3 linked regions of the Alligator mississippiensis genome follow. The protein of the gene in region 3 binds, or shares a complex with, the protein of the main gene of each other region. Links are inferred from orthologs where the notes say so. Each region holds a gene or a part of one and is shown on either strand. Other genes may lie near its edges.

Region 1 (7,306 bases), on a different chromosome or scaffold from region 3:
AACTCCAAATAGTATCGTTGGACTGATCTTCAGCTTAAATCTTGGGAACAGGTAAAATGTCCCCTATTCTCTTAAACCTTCAGCTTCTTTCTGCCTTTGGTCTTTTACCTAGCCAACAAAAGTGCATCTCTATAGGATGCAGTAGCAGTAAGCAAGCAACTAACTGAACACCTTTTCTATTTGCACCTCTGACAAGCAGCACCAGAATGAAAGTGACCTTCAGTTTCACTACTACCACAAGGCTCGCAACTACGGTAATGAAACCACCCAATACCTCCCACCAGCAGCAGAAAAACCACCCAATACCTCCCACCAGCAGCAGAAAAACCACCCAGACTACAGCAGTTTGGGATAGCTCTGAGGGGCAGCAGGCATCTTGATAGCATTTGCAGATATGAGAAAAAAGCAACGTACACCAAATTCACACCTGGCTCTCCTCACAGCCAGGAAGGGCTGAATCATTTTCATCTACAAAATAAAAGCCAAGAACATTCCCATCTCTCCCTTATTCCCCTCCCATCCCAACACACAGAACACATTGTGCAGGACTGAGGTCTATCTTTCCCGTGGACACACAAGGGAGATCTCCTTTTTTCATCATCACTGATGCATACACCAGAGGTCATTCTGTGTCCCTTTGTATTACAGGCCAGTGAGATAGTCTGACAGCCTCTCTCCCTGGAACACTCCCTCTTTAAGGAAGCTATTTTCCCCCTCCGTTTACAGAAGTAGCTGCTTTACACCACATGGTCAAGTCTACCCTCTAGTTCTCCTATTGATCTTGTTACTGTCCTTTACGTTTAAATGCTCAGTGCCACAGTCGGCAAGATGCAATTGATAACACCAAAAGTTACTCACACACACCCATCCACCTCCCAAGCTCTTTAAAGCAAGACAGCATGGAATAGGAGACAAATTAAGTAACTACTATGAAAGTCACCAGATGCAGTTCCTGAGATCTACAGGCAAATTACAGATGATATTGAAGGTTTATCAGGTCTCAAGATAAAATGGATTACCAGAACATCAAGCTGAGCTGTCAAAGAATATTAGGGCTGTAAGTACACTCTTAATGATGTAGTAATCTTTAAATAGATTTATGGACAGCAAATTCTATAGCAGCACTAACTGCCATGAAATTATTAGAATTTAGAAGACTTCAACTGAACTTCTTCACAAGTTTCTAACCAGAATTAAATGTACTTTGTCAACAAGGATCTAACAATCTGCTTTTCTACACCTTCCTCTCACCTATGAAAATACTTTGTTTCAAACCTCAAGTTGTCTTTTGTTTAGGGAGCTGTAAAAGCTCTTCACAGACAATTAAACACCCTGTGAAATAAGTAACTGTCCATTTAAGATGAGGCAAAGCAAGGTAGAGCCAAGAACAGAACCTGTCTCATGGTTCCCAGTCTTCATTTTAGTCAAAAGACCTTCCTTCCTCTCCCAATAAGCACCTCACAGTAGCACCTGGAAAACAAGCAGAAAGGCTGCAGCAAAGACTTTATGACAATGTAGAATCAAAAACACACAAAAGATTGTTTCTTTTCACAGCTAGCCCAAAATCCAATACCAAAAACCTAGTGGTCACTTATTAACTTAATTAGATACGGGAAGGTTCTCAGTCAAATATGGGAAGCCTGCATTAGACAAGATACCTTCAGCTTGTGCTTAGCAATTTTTTCTCCCCAAACTTGGGGAATGAATAAGGAAGACAGAATGAAACTGACACTGAAAGATCGATCACAAGTCTTTCGGGACTCCTCAGAAAACACAACAGTGGCATAGCGTGAAGTTCTTCTGCAAGACAAGTGTGGAGTATCGGAACTTGATATTCAGAAACAAACTATCAAGATTATAAAATAAATAAATACATAAGCCTGCACTCCCACCGCAACTTAAAGAAGGAATGATTTAAACAAGTATTGGGGAAGAAGTGGCTCCCCATGGAAATCCAGGGCACGAGCATTGTGTCCAGAGCATCAGGAGGCTCAGCTATACGACAAGACTCAGCCTCCCACCCTACCCTGCCCTCTCACAGCCGCAGCAGGAAAGAAACGTGCTTCCCAAGAAACATTTACTCAAGGCCAGACACAGGCATCAGCAAACCGGGCAGCTGCCCAGGGCCCAGACAGAAGGGAGGCTTGAAAGTGGTGAAAATAATCATTATCATCATTATTATCTGTGGCAAAGGGGAGCCCAATACTAAAAATTTGCCCAGAGCCGCCAGGAGTCTAGGCACGGTGCTGCACTTACTACAAATGCCTAGTCCGGCCGCGCTCTCAGCCAGGTCCGTAAGCCCACAAGATGGGGTGGGGGTGCACCCCGAGGCTCCCATTAAAGCCCTCGCAGGCCGGGAAGGGAGCCCACAGCGCTGGCGGCCACAGAAGCAAGTTTGAGGACAAGCAGCAACTTCACGCCCCGGGCGCGAGCGAGGGACACGAGGGGCACGGACACGCGCGGGGATCCTGGCAGCCAGGAGAGCAGAGCCCGCGCCAGGACCCCCGAGGGATCCTGACGAGGCCAGGCCGGCACGGGGCACCCCGGCGGGGACCGCATCACCCCCCGGGGCCCTGGCAGCAGCTCTGGGGTAGGCGCCCTCCGGGGTCGGGGAGCGTGGGGGAGGAGGGGGTGCAGCCGGGGGCGCCAGAGAGAAGGGGGCCGTGCGGGGTCGCAGGGCGGGCGGCCCCGGCCCCGAGGGGGGACAGCGCCCCGGGCCCTAACGGGAGATCTCCCCTCCACCCCCGCCCCGGCTCCTCCACACACGCACAAGCTACTCGAGCGCCCGGGCCGGGCTCTCCAGGACGACTCCGGTGCCTCAGGCCCCCGGGGTCGGGGCGCCTCCCGGCCCGGCCCCCCACAGGCAGCGCCCCCTGAAGCGGACGGGAAGAGACACGGTCCAATTCACTCACCCTCCGCGGCTCCCAGCGATACTCCAGCTTGCCTTCCCCCCTCCCTCCCTGCCTCTGCATCACTTCCGGGGATGAGGAGTCAGCTGGCGGCGCGCGGCGGTGTGACGCCGGGGAGCGTGCAGACGTCCCTGACGCCACACGTACAGCGAGGGCAGGAAAAGGGCAGACAACCACCGCCGGCTGTGGTAGGGGGAACCGGGCTTGGCCGGGCCGAACCACTGCTCAAGGAAGGGGGGGAACGTGAAAGAGGGTTACATCGCGCTTGATCCTGGAGGTAAAGTGGGAGAAGGGAAGGAGAGACACCCAGTGGGTGCTGAGCAGCAGTGAGAAAGGGCAAAATGAGAGATGGGGGGGACGCGCGGGAACACTCCCCCTCCCCATCCGCGCACGTTGGTAGCGGCCCGCCCGGGAGAGCCTTTCGCTAGGCTGCCCGGGCATCTGGCGCGTGGGGCTGGACATGCGCAGAGTGGGCGCTCGACGTCGCCAGGCCCCCACGGTCGGGCTCGGTTGGGTCTGCTTGTAGCTCCCCGCTCACGGCACGAAAAGCCATGGGGGGCGGCGGGCAGACAACCGTGGAGACACCGACTTGCCGTGTTTAGACTGAACCAAAGTGAAATCCACGTGGCCTTTTCCTGTGACCCTGTCCGAAACAAAACACCGCCCCTGCCCTGCAACACGTAAGTGGGTTCGTGCTCTGCTACCGGGTCCCGGCCCTCCGCCAAGTACAAGCAGTAACAAGCCCGAGGCGGAATCGATTCAGTCTGCACAACTTAGACTGTGTACGCGGCACCGATAAGCAACTGAACAGACGTTAACTGTTGACTCTGGGAACGCCTGCAGTGGCCGGGCGGGGGCGGGGGGGCACTGCAGCGCACCGCCCGGGAGCAGACCGCGCTGAGCCTGCCCACCCTGAGACGGGGAACTGGCTTGCAAGGTATGCTGGGGTCAGTGTTGCCAGATGTAGCGTAATTATCGTATTTGTACAATACTTTCAACCCTTGTAAGACAGATAATACTAAAAATGTTCAAAAGTCTATCACAATTGAGGCAGTTAATTGAGGCAGCATGTGCAAAACCCGGGTCACTCTCAGGGGGTCTTAACCAGCTTAAGAGTCTGGGTTACCAGAGTGTGGAACGTGCTCCCAAGGGAGGCGGTGCTCTCCCCTACCCCGGGGGGCTTTAAGAGGAGACTGGACAAGTACCTGGCTGGGGTCATCTGACCCGGGGGCAAGGGGGCGGACTCGATGATCTTCCCTTCCGACCCTACAAATCTATGAAATCTATTGAACTTTCGGGTTCGCTGTCCGTGCTTTCTTCCAACCACTTGCCTCAAAACAAAGAAACACTTCAAGGTTGATGATGACCCAGTTCTCACTGGTTTTGAATTGGGATTTGACAGGGACTAAAGTGAGGATGAGCAATACTTGCTATTTATCTTTAACTGGAGACTTATGGTGGGTAACTGTATAACGACCATATAACTAAATCTCAATGTGTGATAATACTAAGAGCTTTATTTTAAATGTTACATACAGTCTTAAATCAATAGGAAATTAAAGGGGTTTTGTGCTCGCCTTGTTCGTAAATTGCAGGCGTGTACCCAATACAGTAAGTTGCAAAATAAAGTGTAGAAGATTTACAATACACAGACCTAAACTGCAAAACAAAGAGAAAAGAATAATCATAGTAATACATTCAGTTTAACCAGTCATAGAAAGAGTTCAAACATCATAGTGGGTAGTGTCAAGTACAGTGGCACAAGTGTGGTGATCAGGGATCCTAATTTTCTCTGATTAAAAATTGCAAATACTCTGATTTAAAAACCCAAAATCCGTGATAAAAAATAAAGTCCCCCCCACAACCCCTCCCAGCGCTGCTGGTGCCCCGCACTCCCCACCACGGTCTCCACAGCCCTCCTGATACCCCTCACAGCAGCCCTCCAGACCCACAGACATGCATACACAGACACTGACACCCACCCCAGCAGTGTGTGTGTGTGGGGGGAAGGGGCAGGGCAGGAGAAAGGGAAGGTGCTGGGGGTAGATCAAGAAGGTGGGGAGTGTGCCCCCGTGCCCACTCCCAGGAGCAGGGCCAGGGGGTGAGGGCAAGGGTGCCACTCTGTGGGCCACACACGTGCCGGCAGGCCTGACAGGAGGTTCACCCACTGAGGCCAACACCGCAACTCTGCCACTGCACCCTGCGCTACCATCCCACGGACACCTGCATGGCTTTGTGGGCAGGGGGCGCAGGACGTGGCAGCGGCAGTGCAGTGGCAACCGCCGTGTGCAGGCCGGGGGGTGAAACAGGGGGCTTGCATGCAGCGGCATGCCCCGCAACTGGCTGCACGGCTCCGCAGCAGTGCAGAGTGGTGGCAGCTGCATGCGGGGGGGGGGGGGCGGCTTTGCAGTCAAGTGCTACCACCACAGAGATATGCCCTTCGCCCCTGGATCCTAGAGGTAAATGGGGCTTGGGGGGCTGTGGGAGATGGTTGGGGGCTGAGGGAGTGGGGGGTGCTGCCCAGCCCCAGGCAGCACACCACAGCTGGGAGCAGGGCCAGGGGGTGAGGGCAGGGGTGCCCCTCTGCGGGGGACTTTGCGGGCAAGCAACTTGGGGTGCATTGTGGTGGTACCTGCCATGTGTGGGCCGCACATGCCGCCTGGCCGCCTGCCCAGGGGAGGGGGAGAGGGAGGCTGGCATTCAGCCGGAGCACAGCTCCGTGGCCGGCTCTGCAGCCATGGCAAGGGATGGGGGTAGGGGGGAGGCTTCAGCTCGCACATGGCGCTGTCACTTACCTGGAGCCCTGTGACAGCAATGATGGCTGCTGCCTACAAAACCTCCCGCTGCTGCCGTGGAGCTGTGTGGCTGACGGCAGCGGTGCAGTGCGGGGTGGTGGTGGGGATGGCTGCGTGCCGCCTGGCCACCACCACGCTGCCACTGGGCGGCTGGCCCTCCGGGCATGGCTCCGCAGCAGCAGTGGGAGGTTTTGTAGGCAGCGGCCGTCACAGGCCTCCAGGTAAGCAGCAGCGCCATGTGCAAGCCCAAGCCTCCCCCCATCCCGCCGCACCCCCATCCCTCGCTGTGGCTGCAGAGCTGGCCGTGGAGCTATGCTCCGGCCACATACCAGCCTCCCCCTCCCCTGAGCAGGCAGCCAGGCGGCATGCGTGCGGCCCACACATGGCGGGCACCACCACACTGTGCCCCGCATCGCTTGCCCGCAAAGTCCCCTGCAGAGGAACACCCCTGCCCTCACCTCCTGGCCTGCTCCCAGCTGCGGTGTGCTGCCTGGGGCTGGCAGCACCCCCCCATGCCCTCAATCCCCAACCATCTTCCCCAGCCCTGCCCCAAGCCACACTTACCTCCATGCTCCAGGGGTGAAGGGTAAGTCTGAGCCTGAGCCAAAGGGCTGCCTCAGAGACTCAGGCCCTGCCCTCCCCCTCTCCCTCCCACTCCGACCAGGGCTGGGGGTTTCCCGTCTTTTTTGCAATCAGTTCTTGCAGGCTGGAGCTGCACCAGCCTGCCAGAGCACTTTGCAGAAGCAAAGAATCAGCGGATTTCTCTGCTAAAAAGAGAAATCTGCGTTTTCTCCATTTTCCCGTGGGAAATAGAAAACCTGGATCCCTGGTGATGATAATAACAGTACAAGCCAACGTGACGTCACCTAAAAAGAAAACTTTTTTGCATGCTTATTTGCACACCATTTTTCAGTGTATGATAGTTTTCAGAAAATACGATAATTTGAGCTTCCACTATGATAACTTCATTTTTAAGACCTGGCAACTCTGCCTGGGATGTTGGAGGACTGTGAGTTAACTTGAATCTGGTTGGAATCCGAGACAAGGTCAATACACCAGTTTAACCTAAATCAGTTAAGTCTGATACTACATCCATCGACGTTTTTCTTAAACCCGTTTCAGCCATTCTGAAAGCAGCTTATGTGCATTGAACTTCTGTTGTGTTACAGCTTTGAACCGGTTTCTGATCATTTATACTGGTTTATGTGTAATTTCTGTCCCTAGCTAGGAGACCCCAATGCGTAGCTCAGCTCCAGGAGTGCTATCCAGACTGGATCCAGCCTATATTGGCCAAATCAGAATAACAATTTTAAAAGGATCATTTGTCCTTCACTAGAGAATGACCTACTCTCCATCTATTTATTGGGGTTCAGCTGCAATAGACTGTTATAGTAGCTACTGATCTAGATTATGAAGCATCAGTTTTTGGGTTTTTTCCATGTGTGTGAATAGTTCTGGAAAGCCATTGATAAAATCTAGTTGTTGATTTACTGCTGTTTGAATTGCATGCAGTTGTCTCTAATCAAGGTGTCAGCCAATGTTTAACTCAAGTGAAATGTTAAGTCGTGCAAGCCCTTCCTGTAATGGCAAAATTCCCACCAG
Region 2 (7,418 bases), on a different chromosome or scaffold from region 3:
AAAGTTCCTTAATTAACCAGGTGTCATTTTAATTAGCCCATTGGCTTGTTACCCACAACATTTTCCAAGATAGAAAATCTGAATTTCTGAAGTATTTATATTTTTAAATCAAGATATTTAGAGTATAGCATTTCCCCCATATTTTGATGCTCAGGTTTTCAGAAATTTAGAATGGTAAGATAAACTGATCTCAATACATTTCAAAATTCCTTACTGGAATACTTCAGAACCAACATTTTCATTTCAGCTTCCTTTTTTAATTTTAAATCTCCAGATTGTAATGCTTCCTCTAAACCAGTCTACATAAGAGTAATGAAGTCCTGCCCCAAAACAGCACATTTCCCATTTTTAAATCTAATTCAATTATATAATTACTGCTCCGTGTTACTAGGATTCTGTACAAATTATAAAATAGCTTTGTCAGTTTGAGCATGCATGCTCAACCTTGTCATAAATAAAGAATGCATTTTTTTTCTTACTACAAGCGTTCCTCATATTTCTCATACATATTGAGAGCTTGGTTCAATAATGGTGCGGATTTACCATCTTTGCCCTCACAACAAAATTAAATGGTGCAAGATGGTGTGCAGCCTTTTCTTTCTACCTAAAATTTAAAAGATGGACAATAGGATCAGTCCAACGTGGTTTTAATTCATGTACAAAGCATAACTTTATATATAAAAAAAAGAGTAATTAGGAAATAACAACTTGCAGGAAAGAAATGTTCCAATATTTCACATCTAGGTAACATTTTGACAGGCTGCCAAAATCACCCTTGGCTGGCTTCTAACTTTAGTTGAGCTACTCTAGTTATTAATTTATAAAGAGCGTACTACAGCAGTCTCTCTTAGTTCACACTGAATCTTGCAATTGGTTCTCCACACATGCAAGTTACAGTTCAGAAATATTCTTAACTTGTTTTTATTTGAACCATAAACTTCAATCTGTATTCTGTCATCTATAGTTTGAAATCTCTGTTGGAAATGAGTGCATACCTGTGCTCAGTGGCATTAAAAATTACTTTTCTCTTTCTTGTGTAGTGTCAGTGAATACAGCCACTGCCTAGCTCTGAAGGGTGCATGTCTCTTATTTTAGCATTAAACTTGGGTAGTAACATTTGGTTCCAATTTGTGATTTTAATTCAGTTTAGTCTCAGGAAGAGCTAAACATTTTAAAGGTAGGTCAACTCTCAGTCATTTGATTTGTGACTTAAAAATTTGCTTTCAAGGGGGTTTGTAAAGTTTTCACTATTGCAATATTAGGGCATTAACAAGTCTCTTGCATGTAAGAGCTCCAGTCAAAATTTTACAAGGTGTGCAACCGAAAGCTGCTTTCAATTATCACAGTTTTTGCATTGGCTCACACCCTTGCACTCTTTCCTTCCCTGTTCCCAAAGCTCATGCTTTTGAGGGTCTGTCACCAGCATGCACCCACACAATGCAACATGCCCAAGGGCACTTGTGACCCCCAGGGCACCCTGCACAGGCCCATGCACTCACTATCTGTGGATCTCCCTGCCGCCCCCTTCCCTTTGGGGAGGGGGGTCACAAGCAGGTGGAAGGGGGCAGGGGTTCCCACACTGGCTTTTGGGGGGAGCTAGGTTAGGTGCACAGAATACAGAGTTGAATAAGCAGGAGCTCTTCTGTAGCCTAAAGCTCACAAGCCAAACAGCAAGCTGCTCCTAACTTGCATACCTTCCCCTACCCAGCCTCTCCTGCTCCTGTCTGAGCTCCCCAGCACTGCCAGCCTGCACTCACGCCAAGCCCCAGCGCCCCCCTCAAGGTGAGCCCTTCCCCAGCCCCAGCTGCTCAAGCTACATTTAGCTCCCATGCTGCCCAGCAGCAGCTTCCCCAGCCTCCAGGAACCAAGTGGCACCCGCTCCTGCAGCCCTGCCTACCCCAGAGCCACCTGCAAGCTGCTTCCCTGCTCAGCCCCGGCCCTGCTCCCAACCCCTGCTCTGACCCACCTGCCGTAGCCCCAGATACATCAGGGCTAAGGGGGTCGGGGCAGCTGTATCTGGGGCAACAGTGTCAGGTCAGGGCTTGGGGGTGGGGGCAGTTGTAACCCACCTGCCCTGCCCCCCTGCCCCGACCTGAAACCAGCTCCAGCTGCTAACTCTCTCCCCCCCCACCCCGCTCTAACCTTGATATAGCTGCCCCCATAGCCCTCCTCAGACCCACCTGCCCTGCCCCCCAGCTTCAGCTGCCAAGAGCCCCCCAACCTAATACAGCTGCCCTACCCCTCCATAGCCCACCTCCTCTACCCTCAACACAGCCCAGACCCGCCCCCCGAAACCCACCTCCTCTACCCCCCCCGGGCACAGCCCCCCCACAAGACCCACCTCCTCTACCCCCCAACACATCCCGGACCCCACCGCCCTGCCCTGCCCCGTCTCCCCGCTGCTGCCGCCACCCTGCCCCGCAGCCCTGCCGGGTCCCTAAAGAGGACACCAAGCTCCGCACGAAAGAAACGATCCCACGCTGCAAAAAAAAATAATTAAATTAAATAAACGATGCCGCCCGGCCTGCTTTTTATCCCCTGGGTAGGTCTCGCAGCCAGTGGCGGGGGAGCGGGGCCAGGATGCGTTTCGGGGCCCCCTGGGTTTTGCATCATAAATGCACCACTCATTTTCGTGCTCTGTGTGTGTGTGTGTGTGTGTGTGTCCCATCCCGTGCACCTGGCAACGCTGCTCCCCCCTCCCCCCCCGGCCTGCCCCAGCCCCTCAGCCCGGCCTCCCCGGCTCTGCTCTGCTGCCCGGCCCGCAGCCCCGCACTAACCCATCCGCCAGCAGCTCCTCTATCCTCCTTCTTTTCTTCTCCCTAAAAAGAGAGAGAATAAAAGAAGGGTCAGTCCCGCGCTGCAGAGCCCGGGGCCCACCCGGCCGGGGAGCGGGGGACGGGCCCGCCCGGTACTTACGGCTCCGCGCCATCCGCCATTGCTCCCGCTCTCCGCACTCGCCGGGCGCCGCGCGGGTAGAGCGCCACCTCGGAGCATCGAGTCTACGGAGGACAGAGAGGCCCGCTCGGGGGTGGGTGGGGCGGGCTGACTGGGGGGGTCCGCCAATCGCCTTAGCAACAGGGTCACGTCACAGCCGCTGTGAGCAGGCGTCGCAGAGCAGTGCGCAGGCGCCGCAGAGCAGTACCCCTTCAGGGCAGGCAGGGGGCAGGCGCGTGCGCGGAGCCTGGTCCCTAGTGCGGCGCGCAGAGCGTGGAGCCTTGCAATGCACAGCGCAGGGCCCGCGGAGTGCGTAGGGCCCATCGCCTACAGCATACAGTCCCAGCACAAAAAAAGGTTGAGCACCACTGCTCTGGAGTGTAGGACTCATCATCTGGAGCGTACGACCCATAATATGGAGTGTAGGACCCATAATCTGGAGTGTGGGACCCATAATCTGGATCGTACGGCCCAGCATCTGGAGCGTACGGCCCATAATATGGATCGTAGGGACCATAATCTGGAATGTATGACCCATAATGGAGTGTAGGACCCATAATATGGAGTGTAGGAACCATAATCTGGGTCGTAGGAACCATAATCTGGATTGTACGACCCATAATCTGGAGTGTACGACCCATAATCTGGAGTGTACGACCCATAATATGAAGTGTACAACCTATAATATGGAGTGTACGACCCATAATCTGGAGCGTACGACCCATAATCTGGAGCGTACGACCCATAATATGTATCGTAGGACCCACAATCTGGAGCGTAGGACCCATAATATGGAGTGTAGGACCCATAATCTGGAGTGTAGAACCCATAATCTGGAGCGTACGACCCATAATCTGGAGTGTAGGACCCATAATCTGGAGTGTAGGACCCATCATCTGGAGCGCACGACCCATAATCTGGAGCGTAGAATGCTACAAATCCTACAGAATACAGGCAGTCCTCCACTGACAACATTTTGATTTATGGTGTTTTGCACTTACCACGTCCCTGTTTCAACTTTGTGATGTCGGTTGTGACTTGGTGACGTTTGCTCTGACGCTGCACCACATTATATCGCCCATCTCCCTGGAGAACATCTGTCCGAACTTCCTTGGACACTTTAAGAAAGCAGACAGGACTCCTGAGAAGACTCCAGCCAAGAACCCTTCAAAAAATCCAACCAAGAGCCTTTCAAAAAGTCCAGCAAAGTCACCTCAAAGAAGTCCTTCCAAATCAATATGATTACTATTTACAATATAAATACACTGATGTAGCTATATTACTCATCTATAATTGATGGAGTTCAAAATTCCTGGTCATTTTTGGTGAAAATAGGGTATCAGGTTTCCATTCAGGAACCAATCCCCCCGTTTATAACATTGTTTCCTATGGGAAAATCAGTTCTGAGTTGCAACGTTTCGATTTAAAATGTGGTTCTCAGGAACCAATTGTGTCCTAAATCTGGGAACTGCCTGTACAGGAAGCAGAAGAATAATGGAAAACAGACACTGACGAGCGCTGGAGGAAGGAGGAAGCTTCCTCAGAGCAGGGATTCCCAAGCAGAGTGCTGCGGCTCCTTGGGGTGCTTTGAGAGCCTTTGAAGGGTGCTGCCGGGTACCCCCCAATGTGAGCCCCTCGATGCATGCAAACATGATTCACGAGATAAACCAGGAGATTTTCCCATAGGTATTCACAGTGTCAAAAAATTGTGGTCTTCCTGTGTTCTTTGCAGCAGAAAAACGTTTTGGATATTTTTCCGTGATCAAAAAACGAGTGCAGATTAAGAGCTGGCATTTTCTAAGGCAGGGCACAAGTTTAATAAGGGGTACCTCACACCTATAAAAAGGTTGTGAGCTGCTACCGTAGACACTGGCAGGAACACAAATAGGCGTGCCCTCCCGCAGACACCAGACATGTCGGGTGCACTTTGCCCCCTGACAGCCTCACCCAGCGAGAGAGAAGTGTCAGCCTTTTGCATATTAATTTACGAAGCAATTGTCATCCAGCCATATGGCAGGCACGAGCCATTTACAATTGTTCACAAGTATTTTTCATGTTATCAGTGCTACCAGTAACTGGCTTTGTGACTGGCACAGATGCATACCCTGCATATCAATTATACTACCAGCATTTCTTCATGCAAGTAGGAGAGGAACCAGCCTTGTGGGTGGAGCAGGGTGGGGAGATGCAGCAGCTAGCTGCCAAGACCTTGACTAAACTGGAAAAGCTTTGCAGATAGAGCGATAATAATGGCAAACCCTCCGGCATAGCTCATAGTTGCCAGTATAATTTATACAACCAGCCCCTCAACAGAAGTTTCAGCAGTATGTCTCTAGTGGGTTATGGAATAGAGAAAATCCCACACAATTTACTGATTCGTTTGATGCACTGGCTGGGGGAGTATTTAGCTACTTGCACGATTTCACAATGATTACACTCTTAATTCATACAACACAATTTTATTTTAAAATTCTTTGCTACACATATAACACTGCTTAGCTTTAAGAAACACCACAAACATTAAGAACACAATAACTACATAGATCAGAAACAATGCTCCAAATGCACTTCTTTCCCAAACAATGCTATAAGAACTAGTATTACAAAAACAACTACGATTACAACTCAAAGTTAAATTTGAATCAATACTATTATTTTTCATAATATACTTACAATCCTAGAATTCCGAGAAGCCTAACACCTAAATATGGTTCCATTCCTCAGTAGTACAATTTAATGGGCTGGCCTCAGTAATACGGTTCAATGGGCTGGCCTCAATACTGATAGGACTAAGTCCCCTTCCTTCAGTCCCTTTCGAGCGCTCCGCAGTGTCAGCGTGAACTAAGAGATTCGTGTTCACGGAGAGGGTGGTTCAGGTGATCGGTCTGATCTGGCCTACACTTGCAATTCTTCCTTTGTTGTTCTGCAAGTGAGGTTACCTCCAAAATGGGACAGCAGGTTACAGTTTTTATTGAGTGAGTTGCCATCTTGGGCCCTTCCTACCCAAACCTGTCACTACTCCCAAATATGGGCTCGGATCTTACTTTACAGATTCTTTTGCTTGGTAATCAGTTTCTTTTGTTGATAATTTTAATTACTTCGGGGAATTTCCTTTCTTTCCAACCTTTTAAAAGGCTCCTAGGGTTTGATTTCTCGGAATGTGGGATGTTTGCTTAAGGGTTATTTTTAGGTTAACTTTGTTAAAGACCTCTAAAGACAAAATTCAAGAGTTAAGACTTTGAGCAAAGTCAGGACCTTCCGCACGTGGACCAAAACAATGGCCTAGATAAGAAGATGAATCTTGTCTTCTTCCTAAACTGGCTAATGGGCAACTATTACAAACATTCAAATATTACATTCAGTATGACACAGTAAAAGGGCTTTTTTTTTAACCAGCTTAACTCTTCTTGCACTAGAGCTTTTGCCAATACAGCTATGGATGTTGGAGACAGTTTTTCACACTCCTACCAACCAGTGGCAAAGCTTGGAAGCATACACCCAGCTGCAATCTCTGAAGTGAAACCAGCTGGAACTCTCCAGGATGGATTGTTTCTCAAGCGGCATTTGAGAAGTATCTAGTCCTGCCAGCTTAATGAAACGCTAGGGCCCAACATATCAAAGATCAACGTATGGAGATTTTGGTGTGTTTCATTGTTAGTATATTTGACATGTTTGTAACTGGAAAGCTGAAAAATGGAGAAGAGTGAAATCAGAACTGCAATCAAATACCTCTATAAGAAGAGATCAAATATGTGGAGTCAACTGTCAAAACAGACCTTTTTGTGGGCACCGGTTGTTTGCAGACATGTAATAAAGTGCTATTTAAACCTCACTTTTAAACCCAGAGTATTGTTTTTTAATTGCAGTTCATATTTTAGTTATTTTTCAAATGTAATTTTACTCCTGGTAGACAACATAACAGTGCTTGAAGCAGGATCTGGAACTCAGAACTCCCCTCTTCTTTGAATCTCCCCAGACAGAAGAGAGTGTAAAATCTGGATGTCCTCCCTATGTGAGTACTGAAATCACCGATCAGAGGGGAGTGCCGGCAGCCCTGTCTCTAGCTGTGGGGTTTTTTTTTTTAAGTAGCATTTTGTACACTGCACGAGCTGCGAGGTGAGCTCTGAGAAACCTCCCCGATCCAGACCTTCAGGCAGAGGAACACCTTGTTTATGGGTCATGATGAGCCCTAAGCCTGAGCTAGGCATGGACCCGTTCAGTCCTGGTGCTTTGCACGTGCACAGAAGTGCAATGTGAACTGATTAAAAGTGAAGCACCTATAGGAGTTTGGGCCTGTCGAGGATTAAGCAGCAGCTGAGTTGACGGGTTGAGGGTCTTAATTTAGGAATTAGGGAGTTGAAACCCACCATAGTCCAATTAAACCCTTTTGTGGTCTTGGGCCTTAAGTGGTGGCTGATCAGCGGTGTTACATTAGGGCCGCTCTTACGGCTTCACTGCATTTATGGCAAGATTGCGCCCACTCG
Region 3 (7,200 bases):
ACATAAAGTATTTTGAGTTCCAGATAAATGAGAGTTCAGTGGTATCCATAGCATGCTACTCAGTGGCAGTAAAAGCCACTTGATAAAGCCACTAAGAAAATGTTATTTTGCAAGACGACAAATGACTGCACCCAATAAAAGCCATTAATGTTTTAGGACATGAGGTTAAGCACCGAACGGAATATTTAAAGTTGGGTTGAGACAAGTCCAGGTGTAAATATGGAGTGAACTGGCTTACAGTGCATCAGGTTCTAGCATAGAATCAATTACAGCAGAGAAATTTCAGTAAGTTTCACTCTGCTATCAAGGAAATTTCTTTCTATTTCTTTCTTAGCTAAACATACCACTTCCTGAACTTGTTATTTCTATAGAATTTCAATAAAGGAGCCCATCCAAGCAATCAGAGAACCTTTAAGAAGTTGCAAATATGAAAAGACCATGCATATCCGTAGAGAACAAGGTACAGACATCAAAAGCTGTATTCAGAAACAACTTTCTCCCAACAGTTCTGGCCACACAGAACATCAGGGAAGGGGGATACCATGGAATAGGAAGAGGTAACACAAAAATCTCCGGTCCTGAGGCAGCTTTGACAATTACCAGCATCTACAGTGAACAGAGATACCATTCTCTGTTAGGTGCTCCTTATCATTATCACAGTAAATACCTAGACAGGTACTCAAAGAGAGGCTCAAAGACGGAAGTGATATTTTGTTATAGCAGTCCTCCCTGATACCAACTAAGAAAGAGTTGCCCAGTAAGTCACTATCCAACCCCCCCTGCATAAAGTAATTTATTACATTAATAGGCAGCATACAAAGATCAGTGCTTGAAAATGCCAAAAAGCAAAGCCAGAACACACTGATAAAAAAACAACCTGATTGTAGATAATTGTTTTTTGCCAGCAGTTATGCCACCAAAAGGAATGGAAAAGCCAAGACATTGAGGCCTTACTATTCTTGGAGGGGAGGAGAGGGTTCATTCTTAAGCTGCCATATATGAATTAACTAAATTAAGGTAGAGGAGAAAAAAAAAACCCCAAGCCAGGACAGCTTGGGTCTTTACACAAGTTGTCAAGTTGAATAAAAAGCTACAGAAAAGCAGGAAGAGGCAGAATTACATATGGCCTTTAAAATATTCCATAGAAGTATGAATTTAGAGTGGAAAACAGAAAGCCAACTGAGGAGTTTATAGGTAGGGTGATGTAATCAGAACCAAAAAATAAATAAATAAATCAATGCAGTGGGAACACCATGGAGGCCAATCTGAGACGTGAAATGAAGAATCTGGTAGAACACTCTGCACATGGATGCTCCTTTCTTGCAAGCAGTTCACAAAACTGAACTTTATCAGATCCCTGTATCAGCAGCTTTTTCACCCTCTTATCACACTCATTCATACCACAAAATAAAAAGCCACTGGGGAAAAAATTTTAGCCCTGCCAATTTGGCCAAGTCCACTGTAAAATCTGAAAGCAGCAATGTGGTTCCAGACTGGGATTTACATGCCTAACTTGAGAAGAACCTGAAAGTGCTGGTGCATTTAGTAAAGGAGCATACAAAATTAAATGAAAATATTCAGAACAAAACTCAAAAAACAACATGGCAAAGACGTGCACCAGTAAGGTCATCTTAAAAGGAAAACAGTTTTCACAGTATCAGCTGGCATGCTGTACTGATAAGAAATGCAAGAAGGTTGAAAGCACCAAGACAGACAGCATCTGGTATTAGGCTACTGACTCAGACTAGACAAAGCCATGTATCCAAGGGCAAATATAAATTTAATTAAGGCAAAGTGAGGCAGGGCAGAATGAAAATTCACTGGTTCCCTCTCTGGAACAGAGGAAGGGACAGAAAATAGTCCAGGCAGCTGTGCTCCTTCAATGCAGAAAGGGGGAAGAGAAACAAGCTTGGCAGAGGTTCTACTTTTAAGGGGAGTGGGATAGAAGACCAGATAAGCTGGGGCACGTAGGCCTGGTCTTACAAGGCCCTCGTTTCAAAGCTCAGCTTCCAAATGCTGTAATTTCAATGGGAGTTATACACCTAAACACCACTGTGGACCTGGCTCCTGCTGCTTTGCACCAAAGCACAAGAGCACAGCAGAAGGCCCCTCACAGGGAGGAGTCACATCTACCAGCAAAGATACATAGGTAACCACACTAGTCTGAAGTCAGGCAGAAGGCAAAGGAGAGATGCACCTTATGGATTAACTCAGTGGTGCTCTGATTTTTGGCCCCAAGGGCCAGATGAGGGCTGACCCATGAGCCAGACCAAGCCTGACACAGGGCCGGGTCCTCTGCACCTGGATAGGGTCTGAGCCCCACGCGTGGGGATCTGCTCCTGGCATCCTGCCCCCCTTGCCAGCCCCAAGAGCCCAGTGTGGCAGCAGGGGAGCAGCAACTCCAAGTTCCCAAAGCAGGGGGGGGGGGGGCCTGTGAGCCAAATGATGCAGTGCAGGGGGCAGCTGCTGGACCAAGCCGACCAGAGGCAGGAGTGTTTGTGCTCTCCTGCCTCCTTGGTGGCGCCTGCCAAGGTGCTGAAGCAGAGCGGAGGTCTGTGCGAGCGCCCGACCCAGGGGCAGGGAGTGCCCGGGGTCCCTGGGGGGGGCGAGGCGAGAGCCCAGAGCCGCCCTGGAGAGGGAGGGGGCCGGAGGGGCGCGGAACAGAGACGGGAGCCCCCGGGAGGGGCAACGCGGGGCCCCCGACCCGGCTGGTCCCAGGGTTGTGGCCTCCCGCCGGCCCCGCCTCGGCCCGCCCGCTAGCACCGCGGGGGTGGGGGGGGGCCCCGAGCCGGAGCAGCAAGGGAGCGCAGCTGACGGCGGGCCGGGCCGCGCTCACCTGGCCGCCGCCGCCTCAGGTCCCGGCTCCCGCCGCAGCGGCCAACACCATCCCCGCGAGGCCCGAGCCGGGAACGGGCCGCGGCCTCCTCCTCCTTCCTCCGCGGCTGCAGAGCCGGAAGTGGGGGGCGGGGCCGGGGCGACGCCGCCGGATTCAGTGTTTGCAACAAGAACTTTATCAGCACGGCGCGGCGGCGCGCACACGACGGTCTCCAGGCACAGCGGACGGGAAGGGGCGAGTCTTGTCCCGTGCTGCGATCTTGCGTGACCGGCCAACACTTTCCCCGTGCTTTTCCCTCACGGGCGGGGGGCGCTGGGAGCTGGTGCTATTTAAAGGAGCAGCGCAGGGCGGCGCCTTCTGCCGAGTCACCGTGACTCTGCGTTGCCGGGCTTCGGGCGGGTGGCTGGGCGCACTGGGCTGTCTGGCTACCCTCGCCCGCGCGGGCCTCTCGCCCTCCCGCTGCTGCAGGGCTCGGGACAGGGATGCACGCACGTGAACACTCTCCCTTTTGGGGAAGAGCAAAACCCCATGGGCTGGCTCGGCTGAATCAGGAAGGCAGCTGCCTCCCCCAGCGCTGCCCCAATGGAAAGGCCGCTGCTTCTCCCGGCCGTCGGTTCCATAGTTTGGATGGGGCAGGAATCGGAAGTCGGGGGGGTGCAGCTGCACCACTGTCCTCCCGCCGGACCCACCCCAGCTACAGCCTTCTGCTTGGGCTTCTGACACCGTGCGCAGCCCGCGGGCCCTGACCGGCAGCTCCCGCAGGCTCCTTGTGTTTTGTGCTCCCCGGCCCACTCCCACTCTTGTTTTATTCACAGACTGCAGTGAACAAAAACTGCAGACATGCAACAAAATTGGCCATTAAAGTGGCTTAATTGTCCTTTTGCACCGCTTTAATGGCATTGCTATTTACATATTCAGCAGTGTATTCTGCTTTAATGGTGTTGCTATTTACACGTTCAGAGGTGTATTTTGCTTTAAATAACCCCTTGGAGGTACTTTAGTTTGCTACAGAACAAAATGCAACAGGGTGCTAGAAGCCAATGTACTTGGGCTTGGGCTTCCAGTGCCTCATGGCACCAATCCCACCACCTTCACCCACCTCCAGCACACCCAGCCACTCTCCTGCCACCTTGCTGTACTGCCCCAGGGGCAAGCTAGCCATTCCTGGGAAGTCCCAGGCAGCGGGAAGGTGGAAGGGATGGTACACAGGGCGCTGGAGCCTACTTGCCTCTCCCATAGTGGGTGGAGAGGGGGTGGCAAGCAGTCCCTGAGCTGCAGGGGACTCCAGTCCTTCCCTCCATGATAGCAGCATCTTCTAGGTGGCCCCTGCCCACTAGCACCCAGCCCAACAGAGAAAAAAAAAAAGAGCCTGCCTGCCTGAGCTGAGTGGGATCTGGTGCTGCCCTCCATGGTGGCAGCACCGCCCAGGCAGCACCTGCCTGCTAGCAGCTCACCCAGGTGGTCCCATGGGATGCCACTGCTGCAGAGGGAAGCATGGGGCCCTGCACAGCTCAGGCAGGTAGACTGGGGAAAAAAAGATCAGGCTCCTTGCCACTTTTTTTTATCCCTTCAGTTGAGCCTGCCTGCATAAGCTACCGCTGGGTCACACAACCCCCAAGATGTGTGGGTCCTGGTCCTTCCCTCCACGGTGGCGTCACCCCCCAGGTGCTAGCAGGCAGGTGCTGCCTGCAGGGCGCCCTGCAGGGAAGGGAGGGAAGGGCCAGGTTCCCCTGCAGCTCAAGGACTGCTTGGCCGGTTGCCGGCAGCTCGTCCCTCCGCCCCGCCGCAGGAGGCAGGAAAAAAAAAGGATCAGGCCCCCTCACCCTTGTACACATGGCTGAGGTTTTGTTCTCCCTAAATTAAAATGGTGGGTTTTTAAATGACACAATTAAAAACCCATTGTTTCAATTTAGGGAGAACGAAACCCCCGTCACCTGTACAAGCACCCCAGGCTACTAGGTCGGATTGGTGTTATATTCCTGGTGAGTGCCTGGTGAATGGGGCTCTGATCCTCAGCTGGCATTGGGAGGGGTGACCAGATGATAAATAAAAACTCTCTTCTTTCCTGGTAAATTGCAGGCTCTCCATCAGGACTCCTGAATAGTGTCTAGAGAACTGGAATAGAGCCATGCTATCTGGAGAATGTAGCCTATCCTTGTGAGAAAGAAGCCCTGGTGATAATTACATTCAACTCCCAGGTAGTTGTGTGAAACTGGAAGGAAGTGGTAATGGAAATGGAAATGGAGGTGTTTTGTGATGGAAGAATAAATTGATGCTGCCACAAAATTCAGCAGTTACTGTAACAGCATTTTTCCCAGCATGTATGGGACCGAATGGATTCCTGATAGATCTAGATCGCCCCTGGTTCAAGGGCTTTGAGATCTCTGGCTGAGCCACCTTAGAACTGGCCAAATAAACTGAATTGCACCATTTAGTAAACTGAATTTGTCATTCACTTGATCTATTCTCTTTTTCCCCCTACTTCCTCATTGCATAAGCATAATTTACTGTCAACAGTAAAAACAAAAGGCCCTAATACTCCCATCAGGAGCTACTTGTGCCAACTGTCATACAAATCCAAATAAGCATGTTTTTAAGAAGTGTCTGAACAAGCTAGATTGAGGGAAGAAGAAAGCACTGTTGCTCTCATTTTATAGATGAAGAATGGAAGAAAAAAAAAGATTAGGTGACATGCTAAAATTCAGTGAAGAACTCCGTGTCACAACTGAGAATCAAACCCCGGTCTCCTATGTTCAGTACAAGTTTTTTAGAGCTGTTGATAAAACTGGTGTTTTTATTGTGAGAAATTGAGCAAAGTATTTTCATTTGAACATTTTCAGTTGAAAAAGATCTACTATAGTTACTCATTTGCCCAGAAGAATTGAATCAAGATGAGACAAAGTACCATTTAAAGTTGATATTTGGAGAATAAAAGGAAATTGTTTTTACTTCTCCTCCAGGAAGAGAGCTAACATTTTTAGGTAGATTAGACATTTTCTGTATGAAGAAAATCAGCATTCATTAATCTATTTTTCAGGACAGAGAGAAATTTCAGCACAGAATATTGTAACTAGCTCTAGTATTTTGTTGTAACCTTTTAAATCAAAACAAAAATCCCATCAGTCAAAAGCAGTAACCACAGACTAAGACAGCACTTCATGCCACCCCACCCCTTGATGCTGATTGGCGGAGAGTTCCTGGCAGGGGATGGAAAGGACAAGGGGGCACCCATCATCTTGTCTGCTGCCTTTTGTACCACACCACCACGAGCTAGCAGCTTCCCTTCTCTGCCTGCACAAAATGTTTACGGTGGAGTAGACTACTTAGCTACACAGTAAATGTTGAACATCTACACGTGTGCCCCTATTAGTCTTGAGTGAACTAACTCTGCAGCAAGGTAGCACTTGTAAATATAAGTACTATCTTGCTGCAAAGTTTTTTACTCTGCAGCGGTGCATGTGCAGACACTATCCCAGCTGCCTGAAGCACAAGGTTGCTTCAGTATGGGGTCTGCCTGCTGGCTAGTAGGGCTGTGCAAAATTTTGCTGCCTGTTTCGATTCAACACTGTTTCAACTCATTCCAAGCTCGAAACAGCTAAATTGAATCGAAACAAAGGGCTTCGAAACAGCCTTGAAAGAAAACGAGGCTAGTTGAAACATTTCAAAAGTTTCAAAACGTTTTGAGTTTCAAAGCACCCAGCAGCCAGGTGGTAGGAGACAGGGACTCCCAACAGCTCCGCAGCCCCATGTGGCTCAGCTGGGCGAGGAACACAGCCCTGGCTCTCCCTACCTCCCTCAGCCGGGCTACAGCTGATCACAGTACAGGGGAAGAGAACTGAGACCCGGCTCAGGGGAGATCAACAGCAAATAGGCAGAGCCCTTTTCTCCCCAGCACCACCTGCAGTGACAAGGAACAGTGGTAATAAGCTGATGGAGAATAGGTTTAGGTTAGAGATCAGAAGACAATATTTTACAGTTAGGGTGGCCAACTTCCCAGGGAAGTGGTCCTCGTCCCTACCAGCTACCTGTTGATTACCTCCAGAAAGCCCTAAGTGGACACTGTCCTATCTGCCTTACACAGCATTAGCTAGCATACCACATGCTGGCTACAGTCTGTGCTATGGGAGAGGGGAGAAAGGGATCTCTGCTTAACAGCAATTTGGGGGGGCGCCACAGGGAAGCCAACAGACCCTGTTGTGCCTGTAATAGGGCTGTGTGAAACTTTGGGTGGTGATTCAATTCAGAAGAGATTCAGCCTGATTCAGCGGCCGAATCTCTGAATCCAAACTGAATCAGGGGACCAATTAAAAGGTCTGAATTGATTCAAAGCTCTACGAATCTTCAGAAAAGATTCAGAGAGCTAT

What was found.
Region 1: the proteins of UBE2F (region 3) and DCUN1D3 are in contact, whole or in part, in a crystal structure (PDB 4GBA), measured with the Homo sapiens proteins. The link is inferred for Alligator mississippiensis from reciprocal best matches to the Homo sapiens genes UBE2F and DCUN1D3. Residues at the interface, in NP_001265234.1 of Homo sapiens: Leu2, Thr3, Leu4, Lys7, Leu8; in NP_775746.1 of Homo sapiens: Glu108, Glu109, Glu112, Pro122, Thr123, Glu124, Met139, Cys140, Glu194, Ile204, Ala207, Leu208.
Region 2: the proteins of UBE2F (region 3) and UBA3 are in contact, whole or in part, in a crystal structure (PDB 3FN1), measured with the Homo sapiens proteins. The link is inferred for Alligator mississippiensis from reciprocal best matches to the Homo sapiens genes UBE2F and UBA3. Residues at the interface, in NP_001265234.1 of Homo sapiens: Thr27, Arg28, Arg29, Val30, Asp34, Lys35, Val38, Lys39, Val41, Ala42, Glu45, Val54, His55, Phe56, Pro57, Asp58, Pro59, Asn60, Leu62; in NP_003959.3 of Homo sapiens: Ala401, Thr403, Thr405, Leu406, Glu407, Gly408, Asn410, Arg411, Thr412, Ser417, Val418, Thr419, Ser420, Ile421, Arg424, Thr425, Gln442, Glu443, Ala445, Ala447, Asp448, Val449, Thr451, Pro452, Gln453, Thr454, Leu456.

What each region holds. Positions count from the first base shown.
Region 1 is NC_081836.1:46,087,515-46,094,820, forward strand, and holds the start of DCUN1D3 (DCN1-like protein 3), read right to left. Parts: upstream 3,003-7,306; 5' UTR 2,913-3,002; intron 2,869-2,912; exon of another isoform or gene 2,771-2,868; intron 1,852-2,770; exon of another isoform or gene 1,395-1,851; intron 1-1,394. UniProt on the Homo sapiens protein: Contributes to the neddylation of all cullins by transferring NEDD8 from N-terminally acetylated NEDD8-conjugating E2s enzyme to different cullin C-terminal domain-RBX complexes and may play a role in the cell cycle progression by regulating the SCF ubiquitin E3 ligase complex, after UV damage.
Region 2 is NC_081835.1:6,056,481-6,063,898, forward strand, and holds the start of UBA3 (NEDD8-activating enzyme E1 catalytic subunit), read right to left. Parts: upstream 3,003-7,418; 5' UTR 2,937-3,002; coding exon 2,917-2,936; intron 2,820-2,916; coding exon 2,778-2,819; intron 1-2,777. UniProt on the Homo sapiens protein: Catalytic subunit of the dimeric UBA3-NAE1 E1 enzyme. E1 activates NEDD8 by first adenylating its C-terminal glycine residue with ATP, thereafter linking this residue to the side chain of the catalytic cysteine, yielding a NEDD8-UBA3 thioester and free AMP.
Region 3 is NC_081827.1:187,282,696-187,289,895, forward strand, and holds the start of UBE2F (NEDD8-conjugating enzyme UBE2F), read right to left. Parts: upstream 3,004-7,200; 5' UTR 2,837-3,003; intron 1-2,836. UniProt on the Homo sapiens protein: Accepts the ubiquitin-like protein NEDD8 from the UBA3-NAE1 E1 complex and catalyzes its covalent attachment to other proteins. Together with the E3 ubiquitin ligase RNF7/RBX2, specifically neddylates cullin-5 (CUL5).